3 linked regions of the Tamandua tetradactyla genome follow. The protein of the gene in region 1 interacts with the protein of each later gene in a pairwise test. Links are inferred from orthologs where the notes say so. Each region holds a gene or a part of one and is shown in the gene's direction. Other genes may lie near its edges. The genes, in order: TRIM37, PRC1 and COPB1.

The links.
Region 2: the proteins of TRIM37 (region 1) and PRC1 interact in binary tests that used the Homo sapiens proteins (3 or more experiments, as listed by UniProt). The link is inferred for Tamandua tetradactyla from reciprocal best matches to the Homo sapiens genes TRIM37 and PRC1.
Region 3: the proteins of TRIM37 (region 1) and COPB1 interact in binary tests that used the Homo sapiens proteins (3 or more experiments, as listed by UniProt). The two-hybrid records come from large-scale screens. The link is inferred for Tamandua tetradactyla from reciprocal best matches to the Homo sapiens genes TRIM37 and COPB1.

What each region holds. Positions count from the first base shown.
Region 1 is NC_135332.1:40,337,090-40,347,054, reverse strand, and holds the start of TRIM37 (E3 ubiquitin-protein ligase TRIM37), read left to right. Parts: upstream 1-3,511; 5' UTR 3,512-3,737; exon of another isoform or gene 3,738-3,782; intron 3,783-9,965. Other genes in the region: lysophospholipase D GDPD1, read right to left, coding at 3,206-3,347. UniProt on the Homo sapiens protein: E3 ubiquitin-protein ligase required to prevent centriole reduplication. Probably acts by ubiquitinating positive regulators of centriole reduplication.
Region 2 is NC_135338.1:98,268,482-98,278,446, forward strand, and holds the start of PRC1 (protein regulator of cytokinesis 1), read left to right. Parts: upstream 1-3,667; 5' UTR 3,668-3,776; coding exon 3,777-3,844; intron 3,845-9,965. UniProt on the Homo sapiens protein: Key regulator of cytokinesis that cross-links antiparrallel microtubules at an average distance of 35 nM. Essential for controlling the spatiotemporal formation of the midzone and successful cytokinesis.
Region 3 is NC_135334.1:89,868,515-89,878,479, reverse strand, and holds the start of COPB1 (coatomer subunit beta), read left to right. Parts: upstream 1-4,357; 5' UTR 4,358-4,510; intron 4,511-5,241; 5' UTR 5,242-5,298; coding exon 5,299-5,389; intron 5,390-9,033; coding exon 9,034-9,263; intron 9,264-9,700; coding exon 9,701-9,870; intron 9,871-9,965. UniProt on the Homo sapiens protein: The coatomer is a cytosolic protein complex that binds to dilysine motifs and reversibly associates with Golgi non-clathrin-coated vesicles, which further mediate biosynthetic protein transport from the ER, via the Golgi up to the trans Golgi network.

The sequences.
Region 1 (9,965 bases):
TCCAAAGGATATATCTGTCATTCTATTAGTGTTTCATAAATAATTATAACTATAAAAATTTTTTTGTCCAAATAGATTTGAGAAACATGTGGAAAGCATCTAGCATTCAATAGTTAGTCGGCAGATAATTAGCTATTATTTTTGCTATATGTTAGCATCTATGCTAGTGGCTAGTGACAAAAGAATTAATAAAACCTTATCCCTACCCTTGAAGAACTCCCAGTCTTGTAAGGGAAGCTGATATAATAACAAATCATATTACAATATAATGTAATTTCATGTACGCCCTAAAGAGGTAAGAACAAAGCCTATATCATTTAATTTTTGAAAGAGTATTTTTCTATTCTCAAAAATAATTCATCTTAATGCCCACCTTCCATGCGGGAGACCTGGGTTTGATTCCCGGACCATGCACCCCCCCCCAAAAAAAAATAATAATTCATCTTAGTAAAACGCAAATGTATTACAACTTTGGAAATGTAAGTATAGGATAAGCTCATTCTTTCTCTATAATCCTATGTTTTATTGCAAAATACAACTGCAGATCCTCTGAATCCACACTTATATTTCTAAGCAATTTTAGTTTTCAAAGTGCTTTTAATATACCTGATCCATTTAACAACCCAAAGACGTAACAGGTAAGGCAAAAAGTCCCCATTTTAGAGATAAGGAAACTAAGGCTTATTCCTAAGGCTAACTACTTGTAGCACCAGAATCTGATTCAGGTTGTCTAAGTCTTTATCATAATGTTTTTGTGTAGATATAATGTAGTAGACCTTAAGTGATTCAGGTTATACCAATTCAGGTATATATACTTTATGTACATATAATAATCAGTGTTTCAATTTTGGAATGGTCAATAATCTAGTTACATGGAATCTGAGGTACATGCAGTTACAGGAAGAGATAATAAGCCCAAATGTTAACAATTTGCACACAGAGACTAAATCTCTGATCAGTCCAACTCAAAAATAAAATGCAAGGGAGGAGCTGAACTCTTTCTAGTCAACTATGTCTTATTTTCCATAGACTTACTATCTTGAATTACAAAATGCTTTTTTAGTAAATGTCTCCTCTATATCTCTCGAATCAACTGTATTCTTTGGTGGACATATTCAACAAAAGCCTATTAATCACTAAGAGATGAGAACTTACTCTCAGGTGCTTTTAGGACCATCATGCAGGTAAATAAACAGATTTTGAGTCTGCAGATCTTTAACAAGGTTCTCAGTTACATCTTTGAATATAGAAATATTAATGCCAGATTTATAAAAAATGAATGGAAATTGTTATAGAAGGGGTTAAACTGAAACCACTGAAAAGACTTAATACATAAGGATAAAATATTTAAGAAATATTTCCCAACAGTAAATGAGTATCAGAGGCCTAACTTATCCTAGCTTTGGTACTTGTTGCATTGTTGAGCCCTTTTTATTTTTTTGCATGGGCAGGTATGGGAAATCGAACCCGGGTCTCTGGCAGGGCAGGTGAAAACTCTGCCTGCTGGGCCACCATAGCCCACCCTGTAGGGCACATTTTTTAACCTCTTTGGACTTCATCTTTTTTTCACCTGTAGAGTGTCACAAATATTAAAACACTAATATGTATTTCTCCTAATATAAAATTTAGAACATACCTAATGACAACATAGATTTTAGAGAATCTGTTTTTTTAAGCCTTTTTTTTTGTTTTAATAAGCACACTTTTCTTTTTATAAATTGGTAACTACAATGGGTACTGCATAATCCCAAAATAGGACTACAAACGCTGAAAATTGCTTCTGTGGTAACATCTTAAACACTAACAGTTCTTGGTTCGAATGGTTGAAGGTACATTAGTCATGTCATCTCACAGCTTAATCACGTATTAAAACACAAATAAACCAAATAAGCAATAACATGGCACTTTATAGCTGGTAACCCTTTAAATATTTGATGCTTTTCATGAGCAGGAGGTTAGGATTACTACTCAAAACTATAACTACAAAATTGTACAGGTTATGTATTTCTGTGACATTTTAAATTTTAGTCCTGGATGACAATTCTTGTTAGAAAAGGTGTTTGGTACTGAATTGAATTTTAGAATGTAATCTCCTAGAATTTACCAGTTTAAGATTTAGACAGTAAATCCCAAGCAATTTTAATCTGGTTTTTGAAATTCATCCCTAAAGAACAGTTAAAATGGACTGAAATAATCCCATCTCACAACATTTCGTACATCATCCTTGAAATGCAATGAAGACACATTATTATCCAATAATGAAGAAGAAAAGATTTGGGCTGTAACCTGGAAAATTAGAGGGTGGACTGCCTAGACTCCTTTTAGCAAGACACTTTTCCAAAAGAAATTTGTCTTTGTGTTCCTTAAACAATAATGTCCTGTCATAAACTAAGTCATCTTTTAGCCGTTTAGATATCCACATGTCACCGCGAGGTGCAGAGTGAGGCTCAATAAAATAGGTGCAAGGTTTGCAGCCTTGGGAGCCAGGTCACTCCAGTTCTTTTCCCATTCCTGCCCAAGTTCCCACGGTGACCTTGGGAAGTGTCCCCCGACAATGGGCCTCGGTTTTCCTCTGTGTGACTCTGGGCCACCGCTTTCAGCAGTGTTCAAAGCGTGGGGGCAGCACCTGCCCCCGGGGACTACACATACCCGGGCTGCATGCAGCACTGCACGGGCTTCATCTTGTTCCCAAGCCCTGGAAGCCTTCAGGTGCCCAAGCTCATCACTCAGGCTCTCCCCACACGCTCAGCCACCCGCTCGCTGTCCGAGCCGTGAGCACCCAGCTCCCCAGGCTGGGTACGCCAGTCTTGCACCGCGCTCCCCCAATGTGTCTCGCAGCTGTGATGGGACCTTGCGATTATCCTTAAACACCCACCGAGAAACGCTCCGTCTATCTACCTCTCATTGTCACCCTGCTCCTTCCTCCTTCACAGAACCCCTCATACCGCACCCTCTGCCCTGGAGAGACCCCATCACCGTGACCACCCTGGCTCTGCCTCAAGACTCCTTCTCTTCCCTCAGAGACCTCCCCCTTCACACCGTCTTCACCTCCGGGGATGTCCTCTCTGCACACACTCGCTTTCCTCCTCAAACTCTTACGCTATTTCCATCCGCCTGCCTTTTTCGAAAATCCAACAGACCCTCAGCTCTAGTCGGTAAAAAAGCTTCTCCCCCTCTGCCATCGGGTTCTGGGGACCCCTCTCACCTCCACGGTGAGAGATGTGTTTACTGAGGAATCGCTGCTTCTTTCTTTGGTGTAGCAGGGTCGGGTATTTGAGCAAGAAGAATGAGGTCACCAAGTACCCTCCCAGGGTGGAGAGAAGATAAAACGCTGCGGTGGACGACATCTCAGTCCCAGCGTGGGAAGTCCCCCACCTCCGGGCCCTCTGAACTCCGCTGCGATGGTCGCAACGGCTGCGGCGGCGGCGGCGACTGTCGGAGATCTGCTCGCCCCCAGCTGGTGCCAGTCGCGCAGCGCAGTTGTCCCTGCCGGCTCACCACGCAGGCGCAGCCAGACCCCAGCGCCGGAGTAACAAAGGGGCTCCTACACGCAGGCGCGCTCTGGCTCCTGGGTAGGCGCCTTCTGAAGTTCGGTTGTGAGCACTTTACCAGCTAGCTTTGTGGTCTGACAGCAACATTTGGAAGAAATTCCCAACTGAGGCAGACGTTTGGAAACCTGCCAGTGCCTTCGCCATCGCTCATGCAGAAAAGTGGGATTTAAGTGCAGCCTCAGGAAGGTATGACATAATTGGGAAATCACATCAGGAAGGAAAGACTCCAAGGTATTTCTTAGCCCCTATTCTAGGAAATATAACGAATTGCTACTGATGGAGGTGTTAACGTTTGCTTAAACAAATAATAAACCCCTCAGTTTGTCTAGCCAAGGAAAAATTTTCCCTGTTGTCATATACAGTTAAAGGTACTAGTTTATTAGTCAAATATTTAAGAAACCGACTCCTCTCCTCCTTCAATTCACTGTGAAAATGCAATTCCCCGTGCCACCTGCACGTCAGGACTCAAATATTTGTTGACTGAAAATCTCATTTAAAATAAGGAAACGCTGGCAAGATTTTAGGATATCACTTAAATATCCTAGAAAGACTGGCAACTAAATTCCAGAAGGCCCTATTTGTTTCACTTTTATCATACACATTGCAAACTACTAAAACAATAAGAACACAATAAAAGGCAAAAGCATCCAGAGCTGAAGGAGACAATTTGCAAGTAAATGTCTCCCACAGAAGAGGAATGCAGAGCGAGTATTTAAAATCTTGTGATTCTTGCTCCAGCCTTGGATAAAATCACTCATTTTCTCTTACTTTTGTCTGTAAAATAAGAGAATTTTGAATAGATGATTACTTCTATGCTAATAATACATGCTATTGTTCCTAAAAAGTCTATCTTTAAGAGGAGTAAACAAAATTTAGAAGATTATTGAAAAATGGGTCTTCATTAGGTTTAAAAAAGTAGCTGGGGAATAAAAAAAGTAGCTGGAAATGACTTTTGCATCAGTTTACCATGAGCAAACTATTTCTTGATCTGACCCCATATACCAAAGAAATGGTAAATGCCTTTTAGAAGAAAAAGAACTAAGTGTACAAATGTCCAAATAAAACCAAACTTTAAAAAAGTAAAACATTTTAAGAAAACTTAGATTGAAAAACCGTCTGTTAAGGTTTAAGAACTATATCAAACTATATCATAAAGATCAGCTGATATGTAAGTTTCTGTTTCCCTTTTCCAAAATATCACCTGATGGCAACTCTTCTTTAAATTTATTGACAACTACTTAGAATGAGCACAGACACATACATGTATTTGATAACTATTACCAGAAAAATAAACATTAACTAAAAATAGGTAACTATCAGATATGGAGGTACCTGTAGATTAGCAAAAAAGATCTCTAGACTTAAGACTCCTTATACGTAGGTATACCATTTACAAGCTAAGTGACTTTGGCATACCACTTAGTTTCAGCTTCAGTTTCTACATCTGTAAAATGGCTGTAGTAGTATCTAATTTCACAGGGCAGTTATGAGGATCTAATGAGGTAAAATTAAAGTACAAAAAGTAAGTAGTTTGCCCAAGACTTTACATCTAGTGACTGATATTGCTATTTCATTCTGGTCAAGAAGTTAAAGAGGAAATAGCATCAGTTTTCTTGAAACAAATAGTCTTGCTCTTTATGGAATATACCATAAGGGAAATTCCTACTTCAAAACTGTCCTTTGAAGCATATCAGACTCGGCAGATCCAAGAAGCAGTGAAAAGAACACTTGGGTTCTAGTCCAACAATTCCTTGTCATTTCAATCTCATGTAAAATTGTACTGTCTGAATCACTAGTGTTCTAGACAGTAGAGGCAAATGATGAGGGACACATATTACTAGGACCAGAAGGCACAAACAAACCCCAGAATTCTGAAGAAGCTCATGAGTTAGTTGTGATACTACTGTTCAAAGTAAGAAAACTACTGTACTAAATTGCTACTATGCTGATGTACTGAGAGACTGCCAACAGGATTTCCAACTATGAATAAGGGAATCTGATAATAGGTTAGAGCATGGGCCAATTTTCTGTAGGAGCAATTTAGTAATATGTATGAAAACATAAATTGTGTACATTCCTTGACCCATCATTTCTAGGTCTAGGAGTTTATTCTACAAAGAAAATTTCACAAGTATTCATCATTGTTTGTAGAAGCCCTAAATCCAACAATAAAGAACAGGTTAAGTAAATAATGATAATGAAAACTATGCAGACATAAAAAATGATGATAAAGACTTACATTTATTGACAAGGAAAAATGTCTACCATATATTGTTTTTTTTTTACCATATATTGTTGAGTGAAAAGAGCAAATTACAGAATATGTATTCTAAGATTCCAATTATATTAAAATGAATACATATTTATATGTGCTATGGATATTCACTGTAATATTACCAGTTAACTCAGAGCAATAGAATTCAGGTAACTTACTCTTACCTTTGTTAAAAAAAAAAAAGTTAAAAAAATCATGACACAATGCCCATATATTAGTTTCACAAAAACTACAAAGCTATGTTCAAAAACAAAGACAATATTTTAAATGGAATTATAAACTCAGTATACTCACTTTTATATTGAGAAAATTGCTGTGATAAAATCAGTTCAATGCTCAAGTACATATAATTTGATAGGAGAAAAGGAAGTAATAGCCAACTGATATAGTCCTCTAGAATGTTTGCAATAAAAAGGAACCATGGGTCAATGAGAAGGAAGGGTAAGGGTTATGGTATGTATGAGGTTTTTCTTTTTCTGGAGTGATACAAATGTTCAAAAAAATGATCATGGTGATGAATACACGACTATGTGATGATACTGTGAGCCATTGATTGTACACCATGAATGGAATGTTTGTACGTCGAGAATGTACATTTATTTGTTAAGGTTTTATAATAAAAAAAAAAGGAACCATGGGATGCAATGTATACTTTAGAAATGTTTATAACTGTTCAAATAGAAAAATATTTTCATTGCTATACATATGAGCAGAATCATTTCTACTGTGGAAAGTTTTGGAAAAATATTTAAATTGTATTTAGAATATAATTGGATCTGAACTATCAGTAACAAGCAAAGGAGTAATAATTATCCTTTATATTTATGAGGTACTTTAGAATATACGAAGGACTTCCATGAGCATGATCTTTTTTTTTTTTTTTATGTATGCTGTATGGGGTGGGGGGTCACATTTCATTCTTTTTCCATGAGTCTATGCTATTATTGCAGCATCATTTGTTGAAAAAAATTTGGGGGTGGGGGAAGGGGAGAAGTGCAGGAGCCAGGAATTGAACCTGGGGCTCCTGCATGGCAGGCGGGAACTACCCTTGCACCCGCCATTGTCTTACTTTAAATGTTTAAACCTTAGCTATTATTTGAGGTAGGCAGGGGAAATATTTTCCCCATTTTATGGATGAATAAGCTGAAGCTTAGATGGGATGCAATGTCCAAGAGGGTAGAAGTCACACCAGACTATTTCCTAAAGACATCAAACCAGTGAGCTGCTGTGCTGACGTGGGCTGATAAACAATATGAACAGTACTGAAAATTAAACATAAAATATCAGCTGGCTTTTGTGCAAAAAGTTTGGAGAATTCCAACCTATAAACTAATAAGTACTTTATTTCCCACATTTTAGAACAGATACAAAGTTGTGGCTGGTAAAAAAAAAAAAAAAAGGGCAATTAAATAGCCAAGGGATTTTAGAGGCTACTATATATAAAGCATAAACGTACAAAAACTAAGTCCAGCTTGGAAAAGACCAAGAAAAGGTATAAAAAGGTACAAACTAAGTCTACAAAACTGTTAAAAATTGTGGCGCTTACCCGAGTTTTACATGTACCAGGCAAAGCACTAGAATGTTTACATGATTACATAAAGTAGGACTAAAACTAACCCGGACTTATTCACCATCCCTCAAATTGCTATAATTATGCGATATTTTAAAGAAGGAAATTTGAGATAAATTATAATTATTATCAAGAATGTATGTATGGCACGTGGGCAGGGTGGAGGTGGAGGGGTGCGGCTGGCGATGTGGCGCTCCCGGAGGCCCGAGCACGTGATCAGAAACCTACACCCTCCAGATGGGGCCCTGGACCAGAAAAGTCCTGAAATGCAGAGTGGCCAATTTCTCCAGAACAACTAATTCTGTCCCTCTATCCCATGTTATCGACAGCCCTTTCCAACATGAAAAATTTAGAACGGGCATAACCCAGACACCCCTAAAGATTGGAAGAAAGATCAAAGGAAAAGGTGGAGTTATAACAGAGAAGAAAATACCTGTAAAAGAGAGCCGGAGAAGATGGCGGCTTAGTAAGACGCGCGGGTCTTAGTTCCTCCTCCAGAAAAGCAACTAAAGAAACAGAAACAATACGAAACAGCTCCCGGAGTCACGACAGAGACCAAAAAGACAGCGTACCCCATTCTGGAACAGCTGAACGGGCAGGGAGAATCTGCTGCGGTGAGATACCCGAGGGGCGCGCGTTTTCCCGGCCGGGGCGGCTGGCGACTGGGGTCCCCTCCACGCACGTGGCTCCCCGGTCTGACTGGGAACGTTGGATAGCGGGGCCCTCCCGTCATGCTTGGTGTTTCGGGCCAGCTGGGCAATTAGGACCAGCACTCTCCCAAGCCGCGGCGGCCAGCAACCCCCGCCTCCACGCGCGGTTTCCTGGGCCGACTGCCGTGCAGACAGATGAGCGCCACGAGCGCCACCTACTGGGCAGGAAAAGAAAAACAGAGCCCAGAGATTTCACAGAAAAAGCTTTCAACCAGCTGGGTCCCACACCCAGGGAAATCTGATCAAATGCCCAGACACCAGCAGAAAATAATGGATGACGCTCGGAAAATTGAAGATATGGCCCAGTCAAAGGAACAAACCAATAGTTCAAATGAGATACAGGAGCTGAGACAACTAATGCTGAATATACGAACAGAAATGGAAAAACTCTTCAAAAACCAAATCAATAAATTGAGGGAGGACATGAAGAAGACATGGGCTGAACAAAAAGAAGAAATAGAAAATCTGAAAAAACAAATCACAGAACTTATGGGAGTGAAGGACAAAGAAGAAAAAATGGAAAAAACAATGGATACCTACAATGGTAGATCTAAAGAGACAGAAGCTACAATTAGTGAACTGGAGGATGGAACATCTGAATTCCAAAAAGAAACAGAAACTATAGGGAAAAGAATGGAAAAACTTGAGCAGGGGATCAGGGAACTGAATGACAATATGAAGCGCACAAATATACGTGTTGTGGGTGTCCCAGAAGGAGAAGAGAAGGGAAAAGGAGGAGAAAAACTAATGGAAGAAATTATCACTGAAAATTTCCCAACTCTTATGAAAGACCTAAATTTGCAGATCCAAGAAGTGCAGCGCACCCCAAAGAGAATAGACCCAAATAGGCGTTCTCCAAGACACTTACTAGTTAGAATGTCAGAGGTCAAAGAGAAAGAGAGGATCTTGAAAGCAGCAAGAGAAAAACAATCTGTCACATACAAGGGAAACCCAATAAGACTATGTGTAGATTTCTCAGCAGAAACCATGGAAGCTAGAAGATAGTGGGATGATATATTTAAATTACTAAAAGAGAAAAACTGCCAACCAAGACTCCTATATCCAGCAAAATTGTCCTTCAAAAATGAAGGAGAAATTAAAACATTTATAGACAAAAAGTCACTGAGAGAATTTGTGACCAAGAGACCAGCTCTGCAAGAAATACTAAAGGGAGCACTAGAGTCAGATACGAAAAGACAGAAGAGAGAGGCATGGAGTAAAGTGTAGAAAGAAGGAAAATCAGATATGATATATATAATACAAAAGCCAAAATGGTAGAGGAAAATATTATCCAAACAGTAATAATACTAAAAGTTAATGGACTGAATTTCCCAATCAAAAGACATAGAATGGCAGAATGGATTACGACCCAGCAATACCACTGCTAGGTATCTACTCAAGGGACTTAAGGGCAAAGACACAGACGGACATTTGCACACCAGTGTTTATAGCAGCATTATCTACAATTGCAAAGAGATGGAAACAGCCAAAATGTTCATCAACAGACGAGTGGCTAAACAAACTGTGGCGTATACCTATGATGGAATATTATGCAGCTTTAAGACAGACTAAACTTATGAAGCATGTAATAACATGGATGGACCTAGAGAACATTATGCTGAGGGAGTCTAGCCCAAAACTAAAGGACAAATACTGTAAGGTCCCACTGATGTGAACCGACATTCGAGAATCAGCTTGGAATATATCATTGGTAACAGAGACCAGCAGGAGTTAGAAACAGGGTAAGATAATGGGTAATTGGAGCTGAAGGGATACAGACTGTGCAACAGGACTAGATACAAAAACTCAAAAATGGACAGCACAATAATACCTAAGTGTAATGTAACTAGGTTGGAACA
Region 2 (9,965 bases), on another chromosome or scaffold:
AACAGAAATCAATTTACAGGTATATTAACATTTATGATATTAAGTTTTCAAATGTAGCTTAATGACATTTATTTTAATTATTCTATATGGCATATAATATTAAAAGGAAAAGTAGGAAAAGATTTTTCTTTTATATGTGATGCAAACATTCAACTTTTCATCATCAGTTCTAATGAAAGGCTGATATGAAATTTTTAAAAGACTTTTATTTGTAAACAAAAATAGGACTATAAAAGAAGTTATCAGTTTCTGCCCACAATGCAGCATTGTCTTTTCTACTACTAATCACAGTAACCATAAATTAAACACCCTAAAAATTTATTTTAGACATCCTTGCCATATAAGGTTGTGTGGTATGATTGAGAAGGCAGTCCTTTCAATCAATTTGTAAAATAATGATCAGTTCACAAAACTCTTGCCTCTCAAGAAAGTCAGCAACTCTAAGAGATAAAAACCTTTATTTCAAGTCCCTATGCAAATTTGTTTGCCACAGGGCATGACAGGGAAGAAAACATGATTTTAAAAAGTACTTAGGGGCTCATAAAAGAAGGGCACATTCATACATCAGAACCACTTGCTCTTCCAGAGGACAAGTGAATGTGGCCACAGTAGCAGCGCTACTCCTCACCCCTGCAACCCAACTGTCAGAGGAGGGCGGGGAGCCAGGAAGGGAGTGGAGACACTTTTAGTTACTTTTCTAAAATATTGTCACTTCTCAGGGGGAAAAGCTTTTGATGCCTCTCTATCAGGTGCTCTCATCACAGCATATAAAGCCCTTACCTGGCCCTAACCTACTGACCTGCCTGGTCCCCTTCCTTCAGGAACTTGTCGCATATTCCTCCCTGCCTTGTCCCTGTGTGTCTTCTGTTTCCATCTGGCCTGCCTCTCCCCTCTCTTTCTTCCGGCTGAACTCATATTCCTTTCCAAGTTCAAATCAAATGCCACCTCTGGAAGTTATCTTTCCTCCTGCAGGCAAGAATTATGTTTCATCTTCCAGAGTCCTATGCCACTTATTATATTCCTTTAATTGTATCATATATCACATTATTTGTCTTTCAACCCACCATTTTGTGAGCTCCTTCAGAGCAGGGATAAGACTCCATCAGCCAGCCAGTTTCCGGCACATTGTAGGTACTCAAAAAGCATGTTGAGGGGGTGCAATGGTAGTTTAGTGGTACACTTCTCACCTGCCATGAAGGAGACTGGGGTTCAATTCCTGGCCCATGCACTTCCCAAAAAACAAAACAAGCAAAACAAACAAAAAGCAAACAGACAAAAATTCAACACATGGTGCTGAAAAAAACAGGATACTCACATGGAAAAATAATGAAATGTGACCTGCCATACAGCATACAATAAAAAAAAGCATGTTGAGTGACCGGATATTAAACTGAGTAAAGACAGGTGGCTTGTGTTAGGACTTAGGTCTCATGACAGGAAAGCTGGGTGACTGGGAAATTTTATTATAGTACAATCTGTACAAGGGTCCTATAGAGGGGGATATTTTAGGTTGTACATATGTCACTAAAATAAAAACAGCAGTGACTTCCAAACAAAAAAAGGACAATATACAGTGTTTTCACGCTGGAGTATGCACTCTAGAATGGATATTTCCAATGTTTCTATGACTTTTTTTTCTTTTTGTATGCTGTATGTTGGGGTCACATTTCATTTTATTTTTCCATGTGAGTATCCTGTTATTGCAGCACCATTTGCTGAATTGTTTGTTTGGTTTTTGTTTTGCTTGTTTGTTTGTTTGTTTGGGAAGTGCATGGACTGGGAATCGAGCTGGGTCTCCCGCATGGTAGGAGAGACTTCTACTGCTGAACTACCCTAGCATCGCCCCCATGACTTTTACTATTGTTACATTTCAGTCGTAATCACACAAGTATGACTCAAACAAGGAAATGCTATGTTTTGCCTGCAAAACTAGCAGAGGTTTGAAAGTACCATGCTGAGGGTAAAATGAGCAAAGGGACTCCTCTGGTATTCTTGGTGGGGAAGGCAAATTAATAGAAGTGTTCAAATCATTTACATTCCATGACATTTCTAGGAGTCAACCGTCAGAAAATAATGCAAGACACAAAGATTATGAATGAAAACATTTAGCCTACCGTTATCATAGACGTTACATATTTATTAAAATTACAATCTAAATATCCATCAATAGCAAAATAGTTGAAGTATAGGCTGTCCACACGACAGGATATTATACCACCACGAGTCACTGGCGTAAACTGTTCCATATAAGCATTTGGGGATGTGGGACGTGTCCCGGCAGAAAAGGAGGGGGAACTACTACGTGTGGTCACCTGCGGGCTAAAGCGAGTTCCATGATAATTACGTACCCCCCGCGTAACCCGAAAGAAAGCTACGCCCAGGTGGCCTTTCACGCCAACCCCCGTGTGTGCATGGACCAGCGCCTCCTGGGCGGGTTTCCCCTCTGAGCAGGGCGACGAAACCCTACAGGAACGTGGTGAGGACTAGATGGGTGGTCCGCTTACAGCCGGCACCGGCCCGCGAGCCGGCGGCACCGGGCGCGTTCCCAGGCCCGCCCCGTCGGGGAGCGGAAGACGCGCACTTCGCCGCTCGGCGGCCACCTAGCGCCCTACCTGCGCGCCCCGAAGGGCGTCCCCCGCGCGGGAGCTCGAGCCCTCCCGCGGCCTCGGCGAGCCGCGGGGCGGAGCTCCAACGGATCCAGGGCCGGGGCGGGGGAACGAGCCCTCCCGGCCGCCGCGCCCTCCGCCTGCGGTCGAGCGCTTCTCATGCCCAGCCCCGCGAACGCGGGTCCGACTGCGCAGTTGCGGCCGCTGCCGGCGGGGGCGGGGCCTCGTGGGGAGCGACGGGACGCGGCACCAATCGCCAGGCGGCTCCGCCCGGGGCTCCGTTTTGAAATTCCGCGGGGCCCAACGGCTCGCGGAGCGGCTGTCCGAGGCGTGAGCGTCGGTTCGTGCTGCGAGCGGGCTCTCGGGGAGGAGGTCGCGAGCCTAGACGCCCGGCTGCGTGCAGCGTCCGCCATGAGGAGAAGGTGTGGGGCGCGGGAAGGGGCGACGTCGGCCTGGGTGCGGGCCGGGTGCGGGGCTCGGCGGCCTCCCGCGGCCGGGCGCGGCTGGGCAGGGCTGGACAGGGCCGGGAGGCGGCGGGCCGCGGTGCAGGGAGGCCGGGCGCTGAGGCTCCGGGGCGCACGCGGGACCCGGCGGGGTCTACGCCGGCTGGGGCCGAGGGCAGCTGCCCCGGAGGCGAGGCGGGGCGGGGGGCTCTGCCGGTCGGGTCCGGGGCGACGGGGGCCGGAGCCCCACCCTCGCGCGGCCCGGCGCTGCCTCCCGGCCGCGGCGTCGCGTTGGTTTAGTGAAGCCGGGACGCCGGTGGGAGCTGCTGGGTACCTGGGCGGCAGCGTTCTCTTACTTGGGTTGGAAAGGTGGATTAGTTCCCGTTATGGAATTCTTTTCCGGCCGTTAACAGCCTGCCAGACGGTGCCGGGAAAGGAGTGTCCGCCTCCAAATGCGGACCCGACGCGTGGCGCGGCCGCCCCGCAGCTCCGTGGTGTGGGGCAGGATGTCCGTGTCGGTTCGCTCCCCTCTAAGATGATGTCAGCGCCTGCGACTGTGTGTTAAGAGCTGTGGGTAGAAACGCTCACTCCTTTTTCTGAAAGTAGTAGGTGAATTATTGTAAAGACCCAGTATTAAACAATTTGTAGTTGTTGGCCAAATTTATTGCTTTGGGGCTTAGTAAGATTCTTTGTTCCATGATTACTAATTCCAACCAGTGTTTCTCAAATGTTGGCCCTGGGGAGAATGGGAATTGAATGCCAACCATTGGTACCATTGGAAAAGCAACTCTCAGGGTAAGATTGTGGGTTTATAAACATCTTAATATTTAAAGAACAATATTTTAAGTTGCTGTGGGTTTTCGCTAATGACGCACTCTGAGGGCTAGTAAAACCTTCCATGACATTGACAGTAATCTGTTATTCCACATCCAGTAAGTTTATGGATTGTTCAGCCATCTTCCGGTTTCCAGAGAGTAAATGAAGGGGAGAAAAACTTGTGTGTTAACTTTGGTTCCACATTGAGAGATAGAATTAGTCTTTATAGCAGCAATAAGAATTAACCTACTAAGGAATATCAGACATGGGTGATCTGGGTTTCAGATATTCATAGTTAGAAGTGGCCGTCAGAAATAGTCCTCAAAAACATGGTGGTTATCAGATGACCTCAGAATGTATTGTGGCCATCCATTCCTGCAGCTGATTGTGCTGGTGGTTAACAAAGCTCCTTCTCTAGAGAACTAGGGAAAATAGGACATTGGATCAGATAAAGTCTGCTTAAAGGCAGGAAATAATTTAGAAAACCACGTGAGATATTTTCCAGTCTAGTAACTTATGCTCAAGAGATGAAAAGAATTGGCCCTTTTACAACCTTCTTGTCCTTGGATGGTATTCTTGTAGGCACCATCAGTTTTTCAGTGATGCATTATAAGAAAAAATCTGATTTGTTCCTTTTACAGAATAACCCAAAAACATTTAGCAAGACAGTATATAATTGTACCATATTAATTACTATTCACAATGATCACCCTGAGATATCATATAAGATCATACATCATCTTTGGAAATGTCTAGCTGTTCTTTCAGAATTACTTCTTGAATGTTAACTAAATATGCAGGGTACCATTCTAAGTGCTGTGGATACAGCAGTGAACAAAATTGACAACCCTGCCCTCACAGAGTTTACATTTTAGTAGTGAAAGAAAGGTGGTAAATAAGTAAATTTTATATATATATATATTTTTTACAATATGAACATTCTTTTTTATCACACAGTTGTATATTCATCATCATGATCATTTCTTAGAACATTTGCATCAACTCAGAAAAAAAATAAAAAAACAGAAAAAAATTCATACATACCATACCCCTTACCCCTCCCTTTCATTCATCACTAGCATTTCAATCTACCAAATTTAGTTAATTGTGATAAGGGCTACAGAAGAAATCAAACCCAGAAAGAGAATAAGAACTATGTGCGTGAAGGAGAATTGGAGCTGTAGAGAGATTGTTGATGGCCTTCCCAAGAAAGTGATCTTCATGCAGACATTTGAGGGAAGAGATCCAGGTGGCTGAAACAGCAAATACAAAGGCTCTGAGGTGAGGTAATGCCTCCTATGTTAGAGAAAGCAAGGGGCAGATATACCTGGAGCAGGGTGAGCACTGAGCTTCAGAGAAGTAATGGGTTGCAAATGGACTAGGGCTCCCTAGGCCTTTGTAAAAGCATAGGTTTGCAGTCTGAGTGAGATTGGAAGACATTGGAGGGTTTTGAATACAAGAACAACATAATCTTTGTTTTAACAGGAGCCCTCTGGCTCCTGTGTTGTCAATAAGCTTAAAGGAGACAAGGCCAAAGCAGGGCCACTAGTGAAGAGGCCATTAAGATACAGACAAGAGATGATGGTGGCCTGCAGGGCGACAGGAGTCCAGGTGGTGAGGAGTGGAGTTCTCGTTAGGGCTAATGGCAGGAATTTGAGAGGTGTAAGAATGATGGTAGATTAAGTTCAGTATAATCTGAGTGTTGGGAACAGTGGGAAGTGTTTGTTTTAAAGATGCTGAGTCAAACATTTTTGGAGGAGTTTTCTTATGGCAAGGATTCCCATTTTCCCTCCCCTCACCCCCTGGAAACCTCTAATCTACTTTCTATCTCTGTGAATTTGCTATTTCTAGTCATCCCTTATAAGTGATATCATACATGACTTTATGTGTCTTATTTCACTGAGCAGAATTCTTTCAAGTTTCTTCTGTGATACAGCATGCCTTAGGACTTCATTCTTTCTTCTGGCCAAATACCATTTCATTGTGTGGCTTTTTCACATTGTGTTTATCCATTCATTTGTTGATGAACACTTGGGTTGTTTCCACTTTTTGGCTATTGTGAATAATGCTACTAATAAACACTGGTGTTCAGATATTTGTTTGAGACCCTGTTTTCACTTTCTGTGGGTGTATGCCTAGAAGTGGAATTTCTGAGTCGTGGTAATTTTATATATTTCACTTTTTGGAGAATTGCACATTGCTTTCCATGGTGGCTGTTTTACATTCTCAACAGCAAGGCATTAGAGTTCCAATTTCTCTGTCTCCTCTGTAGCAGTTGTTATTTTTTATTTTTATTTTTACTTTTTTAATAGCTATCATTTTGGATGTAAAGTGGTATCATTGGTTTTGATTTGCATTTCCCTAATGGCTAATGTTTTTTTAATTAATTTTTAAATTTTTTATACATAACAATCAAACACAAGCATTCTTACCATATGATCATAGATATTATAGAAAATCAGTTGACCATAGATATGTATGTCTAATTTTGGACTTTCAATTCCATTTCGTTGGGTCTGATTGTCTGTCTTCAAGCCAGTGCCACACTGATTTGACTACTGTAGCTTTGAAATCAGTAAGTGTGAGTCCTCCACCTTTGTTCTTCCTCAAAATTGTTTTGGGTATTCGGGTCTCTGACAGTTACATATGAATTTGAGGATGGAAAATACTATTTTTAAATCTTTGCAAGTTGTGCTTTCTTGTGAACTGTTTCTCACTAGAATATATGGTCCCCAAACTCTATTTTCCAACATGCCAAATAAGATTTGTTATATGTAACAAACTCCAAGGGACTATCAAGCTTTATCTGTATCACACATTTTGTGAGTATTGCTTTCAGTTAGTGGTCCACTTGCTGGAGTTTAGTAGTCCTCTTTATAGAGATATTTTGACTTGGCTTTAACTGGATTTAAGATCTGCAAATTTATGTCCCATTGCATGTCATTTTTAGTAAAAATAATTTGACTGAATTAATTAGTAACTTCTTCGTTTGTCACAAATCAAAAAAATTATTTGTCCGATGTTTTTTAATAATACCTTAATTAAGATATAATTCACATACCATACAATTTCACCTATCAGATGTACAATTCATTGGTTTTTAGTATACTCACAGAATTGTATAACCATTACCACAATTTAAAACATTTTTATCTTCCTCCTCAAAAAACCTATACCATTCTTAATGACTCCCCTTTCCCTCCACATCCCTCCCACAAGGCAACCACTAATCTACTTCTCTCTTGATAGATTTGCCTGTTCTGGATATTTCTTATAAATAGAATTGTACTGTACATGGTCTTTTGTGAGTAGCTTCTTTTACTTGGCAGGTTTTCAAAGTTTACTGCTGAGTAGTCCGTTGTGTAGATAGAACATGTTTTATTTATGCATCATTTGATGGACAGTTGGGTTGTTTCCATTTTTAGCTATTACGCATAATGCTGCTATGAACATTTGTGTCCAAGTTTTTGTGTGGGCATGTTTTCATTTCTCATGGGTGTATACGTAGAAGTGGAATTGCAGCGCCACATGTTAACCTTTTGAGGAATTGCCAGACTATTTTCCAAAGCAACCGTACCATTTACATTTCCACCAGCAGTGTAAGAGGGCTCAATTTTCTTCACATCTTGCCAACACCTGTTACGGCCTATCTTTTATTATTGCCCTTGTTCTAGTTTGCTAGCTGCTGGAATGCAGTATACCAGAAAAGGAATGGCTTTTAAAAGGGAGAATTTAATGAGTTGCTGGATTACAGTTCTAAGTCTGAGAAAATGTCCCAGTTAAAACAAGTCTACAGAAATGTCCAATCTAAGGCATCCAGGGAAAGATACCTTTGTTCAAGAAGGCTGATGAAGTTCAGGGTTTCTCTCTCATCTGGAAGGGCACATGGCGAATACGGCATCATCTGCTAGCGTCTTCTCCTGGCTTCCTGTTTCGTGAAGCTCCCTGGGAGGCATTTTCCTTCATCTCCAAAGGTCACTGGCTGGTGGACTCTGCTTCTCGTGGCTATGTCATTCTGCTCTCTCTGAATTTCTCATTCTCCGAAATATTTCCTTTTATAGGACTTCACAAACTAATCAAGACCCACTGAAATGGGTGGAGACATGTCGTCCCTTAATCCAGTTTAACAACCACTCTTGACTAAATCACATCATCCAGGGAGATGATCTCATTACAGTTTCAAACATACAGTATTGAACAGGAATTATTCTATCTTTATGAAATGGGATTTATATTAAAACATGGCTTTTCTTAGGAGACATACTTCCTTTCAAACCAGCACAGCCCTCCATTGGTGGATGTCCAATGGTATCTCATGGTTTTGACTTGAATTTCCTTGAAGACTAATGATGTTGAACATCTTTTCATGTGCTTGTCAGCCATTTGTATATCTTCCTTGGGGAAATTTCTATTCAGATTCTTTGTCCATTATGCCATATATTTTATTCAGAAAAATGATCACTTTTCCTTTTGAATGTGTTATAGAGCTAGGCTATTTATCAGGGTCTGAGAGCACATAAGTTAGAAGCATAGTGGACCTTTGGCAAGAATTCAGAGCCGTTCATTTTACATTTATTGAGCAACTACTGTGGACTAGAATTTGGTAAAATGAAGATGGATAAGATGTGATCCCTGCTTTGAGATGTGATCCCCCCGCTGGGGGACAGGGGTGGGGTGATGAGTACAAAGGTCTTCAGAGGAGGTGCTAGGCACTGGATGTGCAGAAGCATGGACTCATCAGAAGATAAGACTTGCTCATGGTTCAGTGAGGGGCTCCAAAAGTTCAGTCTTAGGGAGGAGTGAGGGGTGGGAACGGTTAAGAGACAAACCTGATATTTGGAATTTCTTTAGAAAGTTAAATACAGATTTGCCATATGATCCAGCAATCCCACTTCATGATATATACCCAAAAGGTTCATAAGTAGGAACTCAGACAGATATTTGTACACCAGTGTTCATAGCAGCCTTATTCATGATTGCCAAAAGGTCGAAACAACCCAAATATTCATTAATAGATGAATGGATAAGCAAAATGTATATACATAAAATGCAATATTATTCAGTCATAAAAAGGAGTGAAGTTCTGATACATGCCACAACATAGATAAACCTTGAACACATCATACGCAAAAGGACAAGTATTTCATTTACATGAAATGCCTTAGAATATGCAAATTCATAGAGACAGAAAGTAGATTACAAGGTGCCTAGGGTGGGCGGGTGAGTAGTAATAGGGAGTAATACGGAGATATTACTTAAAGGGTACAAATAAGAGTGTCTGTTTGGGGTGATGAGAAGGTTTTGGTAATGGGTAGTGGTGATGGTAACACAATATTGTGAACATAATTAATGCCACTCATTTGTACATAAGAAAGTGGTTAAAATGGGTAATTTTGTGTTGTATCTATGCTACCACAATAAAAATTTAAAGAAAAAAAAGAGAGACAGACAGACTCGAGAAGTCTTCAGAAGGCCTTTGCTGGAAGGTGGTGGAACTTTGTTGTCCCCTGGGGGCAGTGGGGTTGCCTGCAGTAGGTGGCCTGGTGGGTTTGGGCCTTAGAGAGAACCTGGTGGTCCCGGGCCAGCCAGGCTGTGAGGAAGGCTCAGGGCGCTTACTGCACTGATCTTTGTAATTTTTCTCTCCCCTTGCCCACAACTTTTTTTTTACTTATTTTTTCCTCTTTTTAAGATTTGAGGTATGCTTTACATACAGTAAAATTGACTCATTTTACAAGTAAAGTTTAAATTTTGCTAGTTGTATACATTTATATAATCTCTAACACCATCAATATATAGAACCATTTATTACCCTGAAAAGTTTCTTTGTGCTTTGCAGTTGATCCCCTCCCCTGATTCCAGGCACCTGGTTTGCTTTCCTTCACTGTAGTTTTGTCTTTTCTAGAATTTCATAAAATGGAGTCATAGTATATAGCCATAGTATATAGTATATAAACTCTTTCACTCAGCGTAATGTTTTCACTTTCCACTTCAGCATAAAGTTTTTGACATTTATCCATGTTGTATGTGGTTGGTTTATTTCCATTGCAGGAATATAATATTATTTACCCATTCTGTAGATGGTCATCTAGGTTTCTACTTC
Region 3 (9,965 bases), on another chromosome or scaffold:
CTCCTTTGTTCTTCCTCATGCAAATACATTTTTTAAATTTGTTCATTATACATTTCACTACTATTATACACTCTAGGTATTCCTAGATTATACCATCTTGATCTTTACCATCTATCTTTCTTTCTGATTTCATTTATGTCCCCAGCCCTCCTCCCTCTATCATTCTCACATGCAGCTTCACTCAGTGTTTTAACATAATTACATTACAGTTAGGTAATATTGTGCTGTCCATTTCTGAGTTTTTATATTCAGTCCTGTTGCACAATCTGTATCCCTTCAGCTCCAATTACCCAATATCTCACCCTATTTCTATCTCCTGATGGTCTCTATTACCAAGGAAATATTCCAAGTTTATTCACTAATGTCAATTCATATCAGTGAGACCATACAGTATTTGTCCTTTTCTTTCTGGCTAATCACACTCAGCATAATGTCCTTAAGGTCCATTCATGTTGTTACATACTTCATAACTTTATTCTGTCTTAAAGCTGCATAATATTCCATCTTATGTAAATGTCACAGTTTGTTTAGTCAACTGTGTGTTGATGGACATTTTGGCTGTTTCCATCTCTTGGTAATTGTTAATAATGCTGCTATAAACATTGGTGTGTAAATGTCCATTTGTGTCCTTGCCTCGTGTCCTTTGAGTAGAGACAGCATATAGGTTGGTCCTGTTTTTTAATCCATTCTGTCAGACTATGTCTTTTGATGGGAGAGTTTAATCCATTAACATTCAGTGTTATTACTGCATGGGTGGTACTTTCTTCTACTATTTTGCCTTCTGGGTTTGATATGTCATATCTAATTTTCCTTCTTTTTACCTTTACTCATAGTCTTCCTTTCTACACTCTTCTCCACATCTCTCTCTTCTGTCTTTGCATCTGTCTCTAGTGTTCCCTTTAGTATTTCTTGCAGAGCTGGTCTCTTGGTAACAAATTCTCTCAGTGATTTTTTGTCTGAAAATGTTTTAATTTCTCCCTCATTTTTGAAGGACAATTTTGCTGGATATAGAATTCTTGGTTGGCAGTTTTTCTCTTTTAATAATTTAAATATATTATCCCACTGCCTTCTCGCCTCCATGGTTTCTGCTGAGAGATCTGCGCATAGTCTTATTGGGCTTCCCTTGTATGTGATGGCTTGCTTTTCTCTTGCTGCTTTCAAGATCCTCTCTTTCTCTTTGACCTCTGACATTCTGATTATTAAATATCTTGGAGTATGTCTATTTGGATCTATTCTCTTTGGGGTACGCTGCACTTCTTGGATCTGTAATTTTAAGCCTTTCATAAGAGTTGGGAAATTTTCAGTGATTATTTCCTCCATTAGTTTTTTTCCTCCTTTTCCCTTCTCTTCTCCTTCTGGGACACCCATAACACATATATTCTTGCGCTTCATATTGTCTTTCAATTCCCTGAGTCCCTGCTCATATTTTTTCATTTTTTTCCCTATAGCTTCTGTTTCTTGTCATATTTCAGATGTTCCGTCCTCCAGTTTAGAAACCCTATGTTCTGTCTCTCGAAATCTACCATTGTAGGTTTCCATTGTTTTTTTCATCTCTTCTACTGTGTCTTTCATTCCCATAAGTTCTGTGATTTGTTTTCTCAGACTTTCAGTTTCTTCTTTTTGTTCTTTCCTTGCCTTCTTTATATCCTCCCTCAGTTCATTGATTCGGTTTTTGATGAGGTTTTCCATGTCTGTTCGTACATTCTGAATTAATTGTTTCAGCTCCTGTATGTCATTTGAATTGTTGGTTTGTTCCTTTGACTGGGCCATATCTTCAATTTTCCTAGTGTGATTTGTTATTTTTTGCTGGTGTCTAGGCATTTAATTACCTTAATCAGTTTATTCTGGAGATTGCTTTCACTTCTTTTATCTAGGGTTTTCTTGCTGGATGAATTTGTTGTCTGTTCTTTGACATTCCGTTCAGCTTTATCTGGACCTTTAGCTTAAGTTTTGTTTAACAGAGGAGAATTTTTCAGTTCTTGTTTTCTTGTTTCTTGCCCTGCTTGTGTGGTGCCTTCCCCCCACACACACTTAGGAGGGTCTACTTGGATATTATATACCCCAGCCAGATTTTCCCAGACCAAACTGACCTCCTATCAGGAGGAAAGAGTCACCTGCGTCAGTTTTCCCTGAGGGTGAGACCCAGCAGGTTGAAAGACTTTCCTGTGAAGTCTCTGGACTCTGTTTTTCTTATCCTGCCCTGTGTGTGGCGCTTGTCTGATTGCAGGCCCCACCAGCATAAGATGATGCAGTACCTTTAACTTTGGCACATTCTCCCTGCTGATGGCGTGGTGGAGACAGAGGAGAGGTTGTAGGCTGGTTTTAATGGCTTCACATTACCGAGCCCTGGTGTCTGAATTCCTTGATGGATGGATTCCACCTGAGCTGGACTTCACCCTTCCTCTGGGGAAGGCACAGCCTCCAGACAAGCCCCCAAAAGAGCTCACTTCTGCCTATGCCTTGGGCAGTTGCAGCCTGAAAAGGCCTATCACTGTATCCAGAGGCAGTCAAGCCTTTGTAGATACACAGCCACAAAAACCTGTTTCCTTCCTTTTTTTCCCCCCTCCCCTTTTTCTGTCAGTACTCCCCCTTTGGCACCGGGGCAAAAATGAGCAACCTCCACTTTGATCAGGTTCACCTAAGCTGGGGGCCTATTTTTAGTAGTCAGAATTTGTTAATTATTTTCACAATTGGCGTTTGATTGTGCCCAGTCCCTGCTGCTGGTAAAGTCCTTTCCTTTCCCCTCTGGGAAGCGGCCTGTGGGGGAGGGGCGCTGGCCACCGCAGCTTTGGGAACTCACGGTTCTGGGGGGTACTCGCAGCTGGTCCAGCTGGTCCAGACTGGGGTACGCTGTGTGTTTGGTCACTGACGTGGCCCCAGGAACTGTTCTGTACTGTTTCTGCTTATTTAGTAGTTGTTCTGGAGGACGAACTAAAACGTGCACGTTGTTAAAGCCGCCATCTTGACCTGGAAGGTGGCCTTGATTCTTGAAGAAGATTGTATAACTATATAGCATTTACAATATGACTGCGTGATTATGAAAACCTTGTGTCTGATGCTCCTTTTAATCAGGGTATGGACAGATGAGTAAAACAATAAGGACAAAAATAAATATGGGGAGGGAATGGGTAAAAAAATTGGTTAGATTGAGATACTAGTGGTCAATGAGAGGGAGGGTAAGTGGTATGGGATGTATGATTTTTTTTCCTTTTTATTTCTTTTTCTGGAGTGAAGTAAATGTTCAAAAATGATCATGGTGATGAATACACAACTATGGTATGATACTGTGAACCACTGATTGTATACTTTGGATGTTCTAGTTTGCTAGCTGCTGAAATGCAATATACCAGAAATGGAATGGCTTTTAAAAAGGGGAATGTAATAAATTGGTAGTTTACAGTTCTAAGGCCAAGAAAATGTCTCAATTAAAGCAAACTTATAGAAATGTCCAATCAAAGGCATCCAGGAAAAGATATCTTGGTTCAGGATTTCTCTCTCAAGTGAGAAGGCACATGGTGAACGCAGTCAGAGTTTCTCTCTCATCTGGAAAGGCACATGGTAAACATAGTCAGGGTTCCTCTCTCACCTACAAGGGCACATAGCGAACTCAGTGTTTCCTTGCATCCACAAGGATTTGCTCAATTCTTCAAATATTTGGTTATTAATAATCGGCCAGGAAACCTTCTTTTGTGGGGGTAGGGGATCACAGACAGGCAAAAAGAGATTGTTTAATTGTATCTGTAGCAATTAGTTTTGTGGGGAAGATAAAACACTTTTAAAACAGTTACTGTCGATTCCCTTTGACCATAAAATAATTTTAATTTCCTGGATGCTCAGAATCACAAACGGAAGCATTACTAAATAAAGAGCAGAAATCATACCGGTGCGACTCGGACTTTGATATTTAAGCTACTCTCGCCGAACTGCAAAGAAGGCGAGATCAAACAACTGAAGATGTTAGGAACTGAAAAAGATCTAGCAGATAATACAGCGTTCCTTATTACAAATACAGAAATTACCTTCCCAAACAGTAATCAATTACTTTCTTAATTCGTGGGTGAACTAGAAAACAATCCCGGGCTTCCAGCTCTCAGTCCAGTGCTTCCTCTGGACCCAACAGCCATAAAGTAAGTCTCCCCTCTCTACGCGTTTCCTCCCCACGGCTGTTCTAGTTCCTGGAAAAGGGAACGATTTCTAAGTGGCGTGTGAGGAACCACAGCGCTGACTTCAGCGCTTGGCCTGCAGGGAAAACTTTATGTGTTTCTACTTTCCTTTGCGGCTAAAACCAACAGCGGACCGGAGAAGTAAACGATATAATTGGCGGCGCGCAACCGCAGAACGGAGACGGCATGGCCTCTCTGACTTGCCGTAGACACTAGATAGCTGCAGGTCTCGGTCGTTTTCCCCTCCCCTTCCACGTCAGCCTGGGACTCTAGGCCCGCTGCAGCCGCTGTTTGGAGCCGGAATAGACCGTCCTGCCGTTGTCCGAGCCGCTGCCCCTCGGAGCCAGGTAGCGGGCCACTAGCCCCCAATCCCAGAGGCATGGCGGGCAACGTAGAGTCTGTGGAACTAGCTTTCTAGCTGAGAGATGCGAAGGGGGTGACTAGGCCGCTGGTGTCGGGGCCTGGCGAAAGGGAACAGGGGGGCTGGGGAGTTCTCGGCCCGAAGCCCCACACCGGCCTGCATGCTGGCCAGGGGTCGTCTCCCTTCCAGGATCCCTGGATTCGCCCTTTCAGGCCCGTACTGGCATTACGGGAGGAAACCGGGCTGGGGATGGGGTGGGGGGCGTGCAGCGCACCGATTGAGGGACTGACTGACGGACGCAGAATTGAGAGCCCAATGGACGGGATAAAAGCGCTTTAAGATTTTGGCAAAGTGTTCATGCAAAGGGTCTCATCAACTTGAGCAGTTCGGATTGTATGTTATGTTAAAGATTTGTGGGGTGGAGCTGAGGGCTGTCACTGTTTTGTGGACTTTAATTGTATAGTACAGCATTCTCAAACCCTGGGCGGGGTACGAGGATGCGATAGGGGATAAATAATATCCCTTAACCTGGGGCTAACTTGTTTTATATTACATTATGATTTATTTTCATAGAGACCCAATAGAGATTGACCCTCCCCTCCTAATATTTTCAAACCATTATGCCCAAGCGAATGAACTTTAGACAGTAAAGGTCACAGTAGTTACTGGTTTGTGTGTGCTTAACATGTAATGATATCTTGTATTTATTTTTTCTAGATTTTCTGGCGTCTGTCAACCTTAAATCTTTTATTGGGTTGATTATAATCGGAAACCATGACGGCTGCTGAGAACGTGTGCTATACGTTAATTAACGTGCCTATGGATTCAGAGCCACCATCGGAAATTAGCTTAAAAAACGATCTAGGTAAACTTTAATAATATTTTGAAAACGAAACGGTAAAAAGCTAAAATATGAAAACAAAAACTCATTAGGATTTCAACTTCCACTGGAAAGACTTACTTTTTGTCTAAATATTTCTTTCTAGGGTCTCTTCAGTAGACCTTCTGTCTTATTAAAGTGAAAACTTGTTACCTTTAGACTTGAGATATTGGGCTTTGGAAGTAGAACATTTCAATTTGCTTAGTAAAACTAAATGAAAATGTTATCGTTTAGTTGTTAGGTATCCTTCTGCATAATGGTTTGTGAAGTTAAATGTGTTATGCTTAAATGAACTGAGAGTTCTCTGTGGGTAGCAGATTGAGGATGTGTATTTGAATGTCTTACTTTCTTTGGGAAGTTAACTTCATATTATGTGGATTATAAAATGAAAAGGACTTTGTTCTTAGGTGAACAAATGAAGTCAACACAGGAATAAAAATGTGTTTTCCGGAAAGGTTTGAGTTCTTCATTTTGAAAACATTTTTTGCAAAGATAAAAACAAGAAAAAATTTAACTTGAATTTTGAAACTATATATTGTGTGTTTGTGACTGTTGAAAAAACACCTCTTAGAAAGTAATGCACTTTGCACTTTCCAAAGTAATGAGCCTTGTTATTTGAACTATTACCATAACTTTAACTTAACCTGTAACTAATGTTTAAAATAGAGTAGCGTGAAATTAATATTTCAGAACTTAAAAGTATCTTTCAGAAGGCAGTTTGCAGTTTGGAAAGAAACTTAACATTTTACTTGCCTGTTCCCCACCTCTTAATCAGCAGTAATGGAATATCTCCTGATTTTTGGGTACTTTGTATTAGATTTCCGTTGGAATCAATTATTAGAGAAGGGAAAAGCAACTCTCTTTTATGACATTTAAACTGATAACATTTTATGCAAAGGCCACGTATATAGTCGTCTTTTTTTTTTTTTAACATTCAGGTAAGATAGTAGAATGGAATGTAAACTAGTGAATAAATTCTCAATACTGTTCTTCTTCTTATAATTTAAAAGTTCATATTAGACTTCAAAAATGCTTATGGTTGTAGCTGGGAAGTTAAAGAAGGAACTCAGTCCTTAACTGGAACAATACTTTTTCTTTAATTCCAGCTGTCTAAACTACCTTCCCCCCACCAATAAATAAACAAGTAGTCTCAAATTTTGTGTATTTTTTTTTTTGCTCATCTCAGAATAATTGAGATGAGAAAAAGTTTAAGAGCTATTTTTCAGTTTTAAGTAACCAGATATATGTATATTTTTTTGGCATGGGCAGTCTCCGGCAATCAAACCCGGATCTCTGGCATAGCAGGCGAGAATACTGCCACTGAGCCACCGCCCAGCAGATAGTTTTTGTTAGGTGAAATATTGAAGTGCTTTAACTATTTTCTTTTCTTTCCCTTCAGAGAGTAGTTGTGAGGTCCAATAACTGTACATTCCTTGGAGTAGGAAGTATTTAGTGTATTTTGGTGAATTCGATTAGTACTTGAGATTTTCCATTTTTTGATAGTGTTCACAGAAAGAAAAAGTTTTGGAAATTTTGAAGATGTGGAAAGAAGCATCCTTCCTTTCACCTCAATTTGAATTGTTGGGGATAAAATGGAAAGTGGGGTGAGGGTTTGAAATATAAGTGGTGTCAATTTTTTATTTTTTGGCAAATTGACCATTAAATTTATTTTTAAAACTTCTAAATTGTTTTAGTGTTAAAAAATTTTTATGCTTTTTGAAATTTGTGTCCTTTATGTCATCAAATATTTAGAAAATTATCTCTCTCTGTTTTTTTTTAAAAATTATTTAGAAAGGGAGCTTTGGAACAAAGAGAGGGAAAGCCTGTGTAAGCTCATTGAATATGACTTTAACTACTTGGAACTTTGCCTTATTTTTCTTATTTTCTTAGTTATTGCTTTCGCCACTGTTAGTTCTCCTGATACTTTGTTTTTGTCATTCTCACTGACTTAAAAATGGAAAATTTGCCTAGATGGATATTTACTTCATCTTGTTGCATTTATTTCTTGTTTTGATAGTGTACGCACTAATTATTTTTTTAGTGACAGGAGAGTGAAGCAGGGGAAGATGCATGAGAAGTTAGCCTATATTAAAATAAAAATGTTGGCTAGGGAATACATTGTCAGTAACCTTCACTATATTTTCAATCCAGATATCTGAAGGTGGTCTCTATTCTGCAATATGTGAAAATATCATCCAACTAGTAGTAGGTATATAGATAGCCTTTGGGTGCTGGAAAGAACTTTTGATTTTACCTAGTATAATTCTTCTGAAGCTTAAATCCTTCCTGTAATCCTACCGTGTGATCATTCACAATCTCTAATGGTGAATAGAAACTTTGGCAACAGGGAATTCTTTACATCTTAAGGTAACCAGTTATTTAACAGCCAATTAGCTCTAATTATTGGGCATTTCTTTGTCGTGTTTGAGCCCAAATCTACTTTTATAGTAACTTTTGTCTATTAGTTCTAGTTCTGTTTTTTAATTCATGATAACTCTCAAGATTATCAAAGACTCTTGGGCGGGCCGCGGTGGCTCAGCGGGCAAGAGTGCTTGCCTGCTATGCCGGAGGACCCCGGTTCGATTCCCGGCCCCAGCCCATGTAAGAAACAAACAAACAAACAAAATATAATAAAACAAGAAAATGTTTAAAGATGTCTCCCTTTCTTCCTCCCTTCCTTCCTTCCATCCTTCCTTCCTTCTCTCTGTCTTTCCTTCCCTTCCTCCCTTTCTCTTTAAAAAAAAAAAAAAAGATTATCAAAGACTCTTGTCCCTTTTTGTCTTCCCCCCCAGATACTATTTTTATGATCTAAATAATTGTAGTAGCAACTGTGTTTGTTTCTTATATTTCTGCCTTTGAATTTTGGATCAAAAAGATTTTTACTGCCATATATTCTTCAGTATGCAACAGTGTTAATGATGTGAAATTGTGGGTTGTTTTGCATAAAATACTTTATATTGCTTATTTTCATGCTGAATAGCAGTAAATTAGCATCTCAAATGTTTCCTCAATTCTAAATAATAGTTAGTAATGTCAAACATTTTAATTTTCTTCCAATTTTTCAGACAATTTCTTAGGAAAAGGTCTAAAGTTTTATAGTTTGTAGAAATATGATGAAATTTAGAATTCATCTAATTTATTAGTTCCTAATCTTTTTGAGTATGAGGGTCCTGTTCCTGTGTCACTGTTTCCCCCAGTAGTGGCTGTGACTCTGAAAAAAATACACTGACAAAAACTACTTTGAATTTAGAAGCACTTATCATAACAGTATCTATATACATTTTGAAAAATAGCTGCATGTGTGTTTCACACATTATTTGGTATACCTATACATTCATGGACTCTGTATTAACTCTGTGGCCCATTAGTTAGGGACCAGAGGTATAAACCATTATCTTTGTGTTGTATGTAGAGAATCTGGGGCTCAAAGATAAATGAGTTATGCAGAGATATACAGCTTGTTCATGGCAGAACCAGGAAGAGAAACCGATGTCACTTGGGTTAGTACCATGATTACCATTGCCAGCTACTAACAAAGTGAGAAAATGTTTTATTTTGTTAACTACTTTTTAAATTATCTGAGGAATTTTCTTTCAAAATGGGGATTGTACTTTTTTTTTTGAAATTAGAAAAAGGAGATGTGAAGTCAAAGACTGAAGCTTTGAAGAAAGTAATCATCATGATTCTCAATGGTGAAAAACTTCCTGGACTTCTGATGACCATCATTCGTTTTGTGCTACCTCTTCAGGATCATACCATCAAAAAATTACTTTTGGTATTTTGGGAAATTGTTCCTAAAACAACTCCAGATGGAAGACTTTTACATGAAATGATCCTTGTATGTGATGCATATAGGAAGGTAAACCAATCAGTGTATTATTATTTCTGAATATTGCTTTGATTTTAAGTAATATTAAAATTGGTAGAATGGGCTGTTTTAATTTTTAAAACAAATAAAATGTAAGTTTAGATATGTTGAAATTATTTTAGAATTTCTGTATACAAAAGTTATAAAGAGTTCTTGTAAAAAGTTTTGTTACTTTGGACATTTTCTATGCATTTTTATATGTGTTATTAATTAAAAACTTAATGCATATAGAATGTAAGACATTGATGATACAGATAAAATTTTGTTTAATTAAGAAGAATCTGTTGGAAACTGATAATATAGGTCTTTTTCCTCAAACCTACTTTCTGATTTTTTTTCATTGAAAATTTTTGCATTTAAAAGTAGTGGATTTTTTTCTTTTGTAAAAAGCTGACATTCAGTATTTCATGTATAAATTTTTGTATTAGGATCTTCAGCATCCTAATGAGTTTATTCGAGGATCTACTCTTCGTTTTCTTTGTAAATTGAAAGAAGCAGAATTGCTAGAACCTTTAATGCCAGCTATCCGTGCTTGTTTGGAACATCGACACAGCTATGTTAGAAGAAATGCTGTTTTGGCCATCTATACTATTTATAGGTAAATAAAGATTTACTCCTTTGGCTTAGCTTTATGAAGACTGTTCAGTCTTCTAGACTAGATTCCAAAGCCTTTGCATGCAGACTGTGTTTAGC